Arabidopsis thaliana: one gene and its partners. The protein of the gene in region 3 interacts with the protein of the main gene of each other region in a pairwise test. Each region holds a gene or a part of one and is shown on either strand. Other genes may lie near its edges.

The links.
Region 1: the proteins of NAP5 (region 3) and AT2G28990 interact in a protein complementation assay, tested with the Arabidopsis thaliana proteins (one large-scale study listed by BioGRID).
Region 2: the proteins of NAP5 (region 3) and PRK5 interact in a protein complementation assay, tested with the Arabidopsis thaliana proteins (one large-scale study listed by BioGRID).

What each region holds. Positions count from the first base shown.
Region 1 is NC_003071.7:12,452,568-12,456,326, reverse strand, and holds the start of AT2G28990 (Leucine-rich repeat protein kinase family protein), read right to left. Parts: upstream 1,691-3,759; 5' UTR 1,273-1,690; coding exon 1,203-1,272; intron 1,088-1,202; coding exon 550-1,087; intron 1-549.
Region 2 is NC_003070.9:18,740,264-18,744,022, forward strand, and holds the start of PRK5 (Leucine-rich repeat protein kinase family protein), read left to right. Parts: upstream 1-1,763; 5' UTR 1,764-1,907; coding exon 1,908-2,616; intron 2,617-2,802; coding exon 2,803-3,477; intron 3,478-3,561; coding exon 3,562-3,759. UniProt on the Arabidopsis thaliana protein: Receptor-like kinase involved in the control of pollen germination and pollen tube polar growth. The extracellular domain serves as a sensor for peptides derived from GRI. May act as a downstream element for ROS-dependent cell death induced by GRI.
Region 3 is NC_003070.9:26,883,447-26,887,022, forward strand, and holds NAP5 (non-intrinsic ABC protein 5), read right to left. Parts: upstream 1,724-3,576; coding exon 1,493-1,723; intron 1,397-1,492; coding exon 1,310-1,396; intron 1,225-1,309; coding exon 568-1,224; downstream 1-567. Other genes in the region: AT1G71320 (F-box family protein), read left to right, coding at 1-372; GDPD4 (PLC-like phosphodiesterases superfamily protein), read right to left, coding at 2,110-2,278, 2,358-2,485, 2,559-2,648, 2,895-2,987, 3,089-3,169, 3,260-3,320, 3,425-3,522.

The DNA of each region.
Region 1 (3,759 bases), on a different chromosome or scaffold from region 3:
CCAAATACTAGTCTATGAAACTAAGATACCAAAAACTAAGTTAGTTGGCAACTATCCGAGTCAATCACCTTGGCTCGTTTTTTTAATAATGAATTCAATCATTCAATTTCATTTATCGTTGCTTGTTTAGTTTGATTTACAATAATGTTAGTCTTTTGTATGTTTGATTTGGTTGTTTGGTTCTTGCTTATTTTCTTTCAATTAATTAATTTAGTTTTAATTGTGAACAAAAAAAAGAAAAAAAAAATTTGTTTTCTTAGCTCATATTAGTATCTTTTATTTCTAGTTCGTTGTTCTTAGTTCTTTGTTCAATTGTTACAATGACTTGCCATATAGTTTTGGCATAATGTAGTTACGTTGGAGTCTTAAAATTTTGAACACATCATTCAACAATGATGTTTTTAACACAAGTAAAGTCAACATATCCCCTCATTCATATCTTCTCCAGAAAAAAAAAGAGAGAAAAACCTCACATTTTTTAAAAGAATAATGTTAAATTTTATTCAAAAGAAAAACGTCACATTGAATGCTTCAAATAGATTGACTTACCTTATAGATGCATCTGAATTGCTAAGATAAACCCGGAAAGACATCATCAGCGAACCAGATTGTGTAACATACGTATTATTCCTTAGTGGCCGTATTTCTATGGCTGAAATTATTGGCAAAGTTTCTCCTGTCTTAACAAGACAAATATCCAAAGAGTTTGACCTGGCTTTGTGTATGATCTCTTCTCTTGTACCTTCTTTCTCTCCATCCAAATCTATTCTTTTCCACTTATTGGGACCAAGATGGATATCGAAGTTTGGATCACGGTTAAGACCATCATAATTTCCATATACAAAGCTAACCACGATGAGATAAGTTGTGCCACGCTTGACATCAAGACTATAACAATTACGTTTTCCTTCTGGGAAGTATCTAAGAGTCAAATATTGTTTTGATAAGTTTATGTTAAGATCTTTATCGACACTATCAATTTTTCCTGTTTGGATGAAAGTGGAATCCGATGTGAATGTTAATCCGTTAAACGAATCATCGTAAGGAGATTCGTCACTAGGTAATCCACAATCTAAACTGATGAAACCTGTTCAAATATAAAAGCAATAAATGGGAAAAGTGATATTGATACATTCTTATATAACATATCACAAGTCAAAGGATTGATTTATAAACAAGAAAGAGATGGTATATATCATTACCTTCTTGATCCTGGGCTCCAATTATAACGACAAAGGTTCCAATCATGGCCAACAAAAGGTGAATCTTCATGTTCTCTCTCGATCACTATCCGGTTTCTCTAGTACTCAAGAAAAAACAAAGACTTGCTTAGGGAAAACTGCAAAAGATATGGAACTGAGAGATACCTCATGTATAAGTTGGAATGAAATATACAAAAGTCAACTCCGGGTAGAAAATTAAATAATGATCGTGGAAATAATCAATCTGGTGTTGAATAGTTGTATATGTTCAGGAGACTCGTCATGTGTAGGAATATTTCCTCCACGAATGTATGGTTTATCGCCAGATGATCTTACTTTGTCTATGTGCTTAAATTGCTTGAGTGAAGAAAAATCATTTGGTATATCTTCATTTAGTAGTCAGCCACCAAAATAACGAATGAGAAAACTTTCGAGCACAAAGATATATAAAGGTTTCTTTCGTGGATAAGTATTTCGTTTGGATCCCGTCCTATAAACTAGTTTACTAGATTGGATCGAATATATATAATTAAGTTTCAGAATTAGTATACAAAGATCATGTTTTTTGATTAAAAAGAAAAATCATGTTATTCACTGACACATTATATTTTGTTGATTTTTTCAGCGGCAAACTAATCATAGACCAATCAATCAAAGGTAAAAAATTAGGGCTGACGTGGCAGGGCGATTTTGAAGGCGATTTAGGGTTTCACTACCGTGTGTCCCAATCTGGCAGATCTGGCGGCTTTTCCGCCGTCTTCCCCCATCATGTCGACGGCGATGGTGGTGGAGAGCACATCGAAAAGTTCAGAAGCTTCCCCAGAAACGACCAAACCATCATACTCATCAATTGTTCAGAATAGACCAACCCTTTCGAAGCATGAATTCAACGTAACAATGGTCAACGGTGATTCGATTGTCCAAGTCCCAAATGAAATCTTTGAAGATTCAACACCATTGTGGGATGATTTGCTCATAGGGCGGTTTCCACAAATATCTCCGCATATTGCAAAAGTTCACGTTATTGTGAACAAGATCTGGCCACTTGGAGACAAGACGGTAAAGATTGACGCATATGTGGTAGACACTAAAACAATCAAATTCCGAATCAGAGAGAGTTCAGTCCGAGCTAGGGTTCTTCGCAGAGGAATGTGGAACATAGCTGACATGCCTATGATCGTTTCTAAATGGTCCCCGGTTGCTGAGGATGCTCAGCCAGAAATTAAAACAATGCCAATGTGGATCACCATTAAAAATGTTCCACGCTCAATGTTTACTTGGAAGGGTCTGAGTTTTCTTGCAAGTCCTATTGGGGAACCAAAAAAGCTTCACCCTGACACAGTTCTGTGCAACAGTTTTGAGGAAGCTAAGGTATTTGTAGAAGCAGATTTAACACAGGAAATGCCAAAACAATTCCGCTTTAAATCTGAAACTGGCGTTGATGCAATGGTCGAATATAAGTATCCTTGGTTGCCGCCGAGATGCTCTTCATGCTCTAAGTGGGGACATATACAAGAGGTTTGTCTAACGCGTCCATCACCCAATCAGCTATCCACACCAACGGAGATAGAAACAGAGGATAAAACAGAGCCTCCTCTCATGAAAGAAAAACCTCTCGAAATACTATCGAAATCTCCTTCGGCTACTTTGACAAAAACGCTAAACGGTGATTCTCACACTCAGAAAGTTCCAATGAAGAATCCGACTGTTTTACAGAATAAGGGAAAGGAAGTTGCAGAGGAAAACGAGGAAAATTTGAAGGACGAAGGTCCCTGGCACACGGTATCGCCTGCTAAGGTAGGCAGGCAGAGGAGTCCTCAACCTCAAGAAGTAGTTAATCATGCGTCTCCTTCTCGTTTTGATGTCCTAGCAGTGGAGGAGGACACGGCTGACACAAACGGTCATGAGGAAGGAGAAATTGTTGTTCTCTCCCAACAATTAAATGATAATTCAGATTCAGTTGGTGTTCAAGGGACTCGTCCGTACATCCCACGAATCTCAAAGTCTCAGCATAAGGTGGTCAAAAGCTCTGCGAATCAAAACACGAAGGGTAACCCTAGTGTTTCAGGTCATAGGGCTCATAAAAAGAAATAATTTTTATGTCGGGTTTCTTTTGGAATGTCCGTGGTCTAAATAAATCTTCTAAACATTCCATTATCAAAAGTTGGGTGAATCACAGTTCTATGCAATTTGGTTGTCTTCTGGAGACGAGAGTCAAGGAGGGCAGATCAGCTGAACTACTTTCGTCTATTTTTAGTGGTTGGTCGTCTATAACTAATTATGAATCACATCGGTTAGGCCGCATTTGGGTTGTTTGGAGGGACAATGCTCGACTAACTCCGGTATTTAAGAGTAGTCAAATGATAACATGTTCGATTCTGTTGGAAGGTAAAGAAGAAGAATTCTTTTGTTCTTTTATTTATGCTTCAAATTTTGTGGAGGAGAGACGTATTTTGTGGGAAGATATTCGCTCTCATCACGACTCGCCGTTGATTCGTAACAAACCATGGATTCTCTGTGGTGATTTCAATGAAATTCTTGAAGGTGGAGAGCATTC
Region 2 (3,759 bases), 8.1 Mb from region 3:
TGTAAAACAAATCATGATGATGATTGATTATTCTATGTGTGGACGACGAATGCAATAAACATCTCTTTGTTTTACTTTCTATTTAGTAAACCTTGAGTCCTCGATGGCCAATCAAAGTACTATACGTAACTTTGTTTTGGGTAGGGAGTACTACTATACATAATTAATGTAGCATAAAGCATAACGATATATTTTCGCCTTAAAACTGTAAACTTAACCGTAATAAAATTGTGTGCCGCATGTCTAAATAATTCGTGTGTTCATCTTTTAGTGAAGTAATAAAAGGCAAGGGTAAAATGGTCCGCACAGACGCAGACATCGATGAGATCGAAAACAAAAGTAACGAGATGAGACCAAACGTGCAAGCCATGGGTTGGTCCAACACTTATCATTTTTAGGCCTAAAAGTTTGTGATTATTCCCTGCCTTTTTATCCTCCCATTTTTTCTTTTATTTACCAACATATTTTCTTTTTACATACATCAGTGAGATTTTTTCGACTTTTTTTTCAACTTCGTGTTCAAAGATCAGCGAGTTTTTTAGTTTGACTATTGATGCATCATACATTTGTTTAACCAGTGGTACATACATACGATTGATACACTTTTACAATCCACGTATTTACGACAAATGTGAATTAATATTTAATACACTTTATTATTAAATTCAGGCGTCTTTCTTTTGTGAAAAAAAAACACTTAATTATATGCATTCATTCTATAATTACTCATTTCATTATTAATTTCGTAAGTAATTATTTAGTATTATACTACTACCCCGCAGTACCATATTATCAGCTTTGAATACCCATAAATAACTAGTTTGATAACTACAATGGATTGGATTGAAACATTAGTAGACTAGGAAAAATCTCTTTTATATAATACTAGTATTCAAAAACAAAAACAAAAACTGTTATCAAATATACATCCACTTTAGTATGTTTTCCAGTACGAACCGAAATTGGAGTATGGACACTGCATAAGCAGCAGAAATGTGTACTTGAAAGGTTCACACCTTAAGATTTCATGCCGACCAATCGTGTCGGCCCACCAACACTTTAAAGCTCTTTAACCCAATTCCGCGTTCTTTCAGAAGAACAATTTCAGCATTCAACTTTTTGACCTTCCATTTTCTTTTTCTTCATTTTTTTACATTTGATTTTCTCCCCATAAAGTTTAATTTTATCATTGTTTATGTCTTTTGTCTTTTTTATGTCTTTCCTCGAGTAACACTGTCCGAAAATAACAACTCTTAATCGTGCGCAGTCACATAATTTAGGAATAACAAAGTCATCCTTTATAATTTCATTACTAGAATTTTGAAAAGAAAATTAAGAGACTACTAAGTTTTACTCCTAGTTTGACTGACCATATTTGTCGATTAATTTATAAAACATGTTGTTTGTTTGTTTTTAACGGGTAACTGGTGATAAAACAGAAATCTCTAAAACTCTACCGAGTTATATCACATTACTTGTTTAATTGGTTCAGATATTATCATCATCATATAGAACAATCCACCAGTTATGCCTGATTCTTAAAATCAGTTATACCAAAATAATTCTCATATAGAGAGAAAAATAAATTTGGTTGGAACTAAAGCAAATGACAAATCAGTACAACAACGATTACATGTATATATAACTTAAAAAGTTAAAACAAGATAATTGAATGGTTATCCAAAGAACTCTCTCACCTAATAATAATCTTAAGATGCCACAAATCCAAAAAAAAATAATCACAATTTTGCAAATTTAAATACTTTGCTTTGTCTATTCTTGGTAGGTTTTGTTTTTCTCTCTTCCGTTCACACAATTTCTTGGCGATCACGAAAGACAAAAAAGAAAAAGAAGAAAACAAGAGATTTCACATCAATCAAATCGATTCCATTGCGCGTGTAACCGCAATGCGCAATTGGGAGGACCCGTTTACGCTTGCGTGTAACACGGCCTTGAAGAAGAATCTACCTTCTTGCATTTTCATCATCATCTTTATCAGCGTGTTATGTCCGGTGGCAATGTCTCAGGTGGTTGTGCCGGATTCAGATGCAGATTGTCTCTTGCGATTCAAAGATACATTAGCAAATGGTTCAGAATTTCGTAGTTGGGATCCATTATCATCACCATGTCAAGGAAATACAGCAAATTGGTTTGGTGTTCTTTGTAGCAATTACGTTTGGGGATTACAACTTGAGGGAATGGGTTTGACCGGGAAACTAAACCTCGACCCATTGGTTCCAATGAAGAATCTGCGAACCATAAGCTTCATGAACAATAACTTCAATGGCCCAATGCCTCAAGTTAAGAGGTTTACTTCGCTGAAATCTTTGTATTTGTCTAATAACCGGTTTTCGGGGGAGATACCCGCAGATGCATTTCTAGGTATGCCACTTTTGAAGAAAATTTTGCTGGCTAATAACGCATTCCGAGGAACAATTCCTTCTTCTCTAGCCTCTTTGCCAATGCTTTTAGAGTTGAGGCTAAATGGTAATCAATTTCAAGGGCAAATACCATCTTTTCAACAGAAGGATCTTAAATTAGCTAGCTTTGAAAACAATGATCTCGATGGACCGATACCTGAAAGTCTTCGAAACATGGATCCAGGCTCTTTTGCAGGTAACAATAAAAATGTTCTACATATTAATATTGTCATATAATGCTTTTAGAATCAAATGTCAACATGACATCCTTTTTAGGTGTGCAACTAGAGAATTCATTATTTTCATATAAATTTTGCATAAACCTTTCAAGAGTTTGATGCATTTTTGATGACATGAATATTCTATGTTTTGTAAATTGTAGGTAACAAAGGTTTGTGTGATGCTCCCTTAAGTCCATGTTCCTCTTCCTCTCCGGGGGTTCCTGTTGTTCCGGTATCTCCCGTTGATCCAAAATCTACTTCTCCTCCCACGGGGAAAAAGGCCGGATCTTTTTACACTCTAGCAATCATTTTGATTGTTATTGGCATAATACTAGTGATCATCGCGCTTGTGTTCTGTTTCGTTCAATCAAGAAGACGTAATTTCTTGTCAGCTTATCCTTCTTCTGCGGGAAAAGAAAGGATAGAGAGCTATAATTATCATCAATCCACAAACAAGAACAATAAACCCGCAGAATCCGTAAATCACACAAGGAGAGGATCGATGCCTGATCCAGGAGGAAGGCTTCTATTCGTGAGGGACGATATTCAAAGATTCGATCTTCAAGATCTTTTGAGAGCTTCAGCTGAAGTTCTTGGTAGCGGAACATTTGGTGCTTCATACAAAGCAGCGATATCTAGTGGACAAACATTGGTTGTGAAGAGGTATAAACATATGAACAATGTCGGAAGAGATGAGTTTCATGAGCATATGAGACGGTTAGGGAGATTAAACCATCCAAATATATTGCCTCTCGTTGCTTACTATTACCGTAGAGAGGAGAAGCTTCTAGTCACTGAATTTATGCCCAACAGTAGCTTGGCAAGCCATCTTCATGGTATGTTTGAATAAGAATTGTTAATAATTTGACATTTTATAAAACTTTTTGTGAATACTAACTATTTGAATTATACGTTCGCAGCGAATAATTCCGCTGGATTGGATTGGATAACACGTTTAAAGATCATAAAAGGAGTAGCAAAGGGTTTATCTTACTTGTTTGACGAGCTTCCAACACTAACAATCCCTCATGGTCATATGAAGTCATCGAATATTGTTTTAGACGATTCATTCGAGCCATTGTTAACAGATTACGCTCTAAGACCTATGATGAGCTCAG
Region 3 (3,576 bases):
CTATTAGCTATCGATCTTCACACTGAAGAATTTCGATGGATATTATTACCAGAGTGTGACACCAAATATGCTACTAATATAGAAATGTGGAATCTGAATGAACGTTTGTGCCTATCGGATGTGCTAGAAAGTTCAAATTTGGTCGTTTGGAGTTTACACCAAGAATATCCTACCGAAAAATGGGAGAAAATATATTCTATTAAGATTGACGTTATAAGAACCAACCAATTACATGAAAAGTTTTGGATGCTTGGTCTAGCGGCTGCCTATTTTTCAAATATCAGAAATCGTCAAGATCAAGTTTCTTTTTTTAGACAAAGAACGATTTCGTATTTGCCAACAATGATTTCTCCTTCAAATTTGATGCTTTGATGTTGTTAATTATACTTTCAATTTTTAACAATATTATATGTAAGTTAAAAAGAATATTTTTAAAAAAAAGATGTTTAGATATTTATTTATTTTAAGTATATTGTAATTTCTTTATTTGACATTATGGATTATTTTTATGTTTTATTTTCTCTTGTTTTCTTTCTTTCTGTCAATATAATACATATTTGGATATAGTTATGATGAATATATACAAGTTTTTGAACAAGTTTTTGCAATTTTAAAAGACATTGGAGAACGGAAAATGCAGTGATGCATTTTATGAAACAGTTCAGTAGCAGTCTTGTAACCAGCCGTGACAAGAAGCGTGGCTCTAACAAGAATGCAGAGGGAACTTCCAAATGCCAAAGCAACATACACAACCATTAACGTAGAAAGTTTCACAGGAGCTTGCACATCCTCAGAAATAGGAGTAGCCCAAGCCATCCAGTAGTTACTTCCAATCTGTAGAAGCTGAAAGAGAATTTGCCCCAACAATATGAAAGGCACAAGAGCTCCTCCGTATGCCAGTGTGATATATTTCCAGTATACATCCAAAGCGACGCTACCTTTCGCCCTCTCTTCCTCTTGAACAAATTGTCTTTGGGGCTCCCCAGAATCTAATTTATCGTTCTTCAGATCTTGACTTTCTTGTTTCCCGTCGAAACCAATATCATCTCTCACAACACCATTTTCTTCGTCTAAAGCTGAGTTTTCAGAAACAGAACTGGCATCAGCCGACCCAACTACTGCCAGAGACTCTTGATGCGCACCTATAAGCTCCCTGAAATCTGTTCCAGAGATGAGGATATCATTATATTTTCCAGCTTGGCTGATTCTCCCATCTTTCATGACCTGAGGCATAAGAAAATCGGTTATGGATGATTTCATATTCTCAGTGCTGTAGAAAATGATAAAAGACAGTGAACTATTCACATACCAGTGTAAGATCAGCAGAAGGTAAGAACTCAACTTGATGGGTTACATATATAACCGATTTAGAACATAAAAGCCCTCGTAGAGCTTCCTGAAAAAAGTATGAGAATGAAAATAAATTTGATACATGATTGTTTACGGAAGGAGAAATCACAATCACACTAATGGCTAAGTAAGAAGATTGTACCTTAAAGAGATGTGACCCTGTGTGTGCATCGACAGCACTAAAAGGATCATCAAACAGATAGATGTCCGCATCTTGGTAGAGAGCGCGTGCAATATGTATTCTTTGCTTTTGTCCACCACTCAAATTGATGCCGCGTTCTCCAATGACGGTCTGATCACCGAATGAAAGTATCTCCAGATCTTTACTCAAAGAACATGCTTCAATCACCTTATCATATCGTTCTCTATCCATATTATATAAACAGACTTAATATCAGTCATCTGATTATTTAAACTTAAATACAAGTGTATTAGACCTTGTTCTAGGAGCAGGCTCATATCGTTATGTATAAAAGAAGATATCTGTGTGAGATTGTTTTCACTGTGCAGTCCGAAAAGTGTTGCCTCAGAGTCTCCTGGATCAGATTATCAGTAGCTGTATCGATAGAAGCAATGGCTTCATCAAGAACCGGCCATACTTTGCTTTTCTTGAGAAAGACTCGTCTTACTGTGTATCAAGGCGTCGTAGTGTGTAGTTGTCAAAAACTTGTGGATCAGCAAAACAACATAAAGAAAGATCTTTGCCAAAAACTTCTGAGTTGGTATTACAGTCATTAAGAATGCTCGAAAAAGAAATTCTCACGTCCGTATTGAAAAACCTTCTTCAAGACACTCAGTTCTAAGATCTTCCATGAGACCCTGAAACATAGATGGATCGCTCGTCACAACAGCATCCACACCTAAGTGAAGCATCCTTTTCATGGGATCAGCATCATCCACAGTCCATGCATACACCTCTTTGTTTCTCCTGTTGATCAGATCGAGCAAGGTTGTAAACACATGAGCAGGTGTGTTTTTATTTGAAAACATTGAAATCGATTGCTTACCGACGGACAACTCTAACTAATTCTTCATCGATCAAGGGATGATAAACTCCCACAACCCTAGCTCCCTTCATTCTCAGCAGGCTGTTTCTCGCCCCAGTCAAAGGATCTACCATCACAATGTATCCCACCTGCCAAAATCACTAGGAAATGAGCAAGAAACTTCTCTATCTGATCCTCACAAGACAATCCATTTCTGTTTACCATAGTATCTGGTGCTCGTCTAATTATGTCCCTAGCCAAAGTGTCGCTTTTGGCCCATACGATGCAATTATTGCACTGCGCTCTCTCAATCTAACAACAGAGGATTGGCGATTCATGTGAGCAAAGCCAGAAATACCACCATTGAAACATCAACAATTTATCCATACTCTTGTTTTTTCAAGTATCTATAGTAAGCTGTTCTAGCTTTGTGTACAAAGATACCAGGAAATAAATGATTAAGCAACGCTATTAAGGAATCAAAACATGTTTATAAATCTCGAGCACATTGTACTAAAGCTTTACAAGTACAAGAGCTAACAAAAACATAGTACTTACAATAGAAAGGATGTCTTGTGCTAACCCCTTTTCATACATTGGCGGTCCAACTTTGGCATCAAGGATCACTTTCCGGACTGAATTCGATATCAACTAGATGATTCAAGATCAAAACTAGCTTCAGCCACTTGTTACTAAGCAGAAATTACAAAGCAAAGCAATGACAAGATAGTAATTAAAAAAACAGGCATTACCGCTAAAGCCTCTTCAAGAGTAGGAATCCTACTACTTCCCAAGGTTCCTTTAACAATCTCCGAGACATCGAGTTCCTTGATCTGCAAAAAGATCATCAAAAGGTTTATGAAAAATGGATGCAAAAAAGCATATCCCAAAAGCTGGTAAAGAGAGAGAGGGAGAGATGAGACCTGTTTCATACTCAGATCTCCAACTTGAACAGAAGAGTTACGAGCAATACGCTGCAGATCCCTGACTGTGCGTGTGATCAGAAGATGAATAAGAAGAACACCGATGAGAATCCAAACACAGAAACATTAGAAGAAGATGATACAACAAGGATCAGAGTCTGTAACCTGTTGTGAAGAGCGAATAAAACACCATCGGAGGAACGAGAAACATCGACTTCAATGCAATCAACTCGAGAACGTATAGCGAAACTGTAAGCGTCCATCTACGATTGAGAAGAGTCCAAGAGATTAAGGTTTAAAAAGGTTAGTAGCAAGAG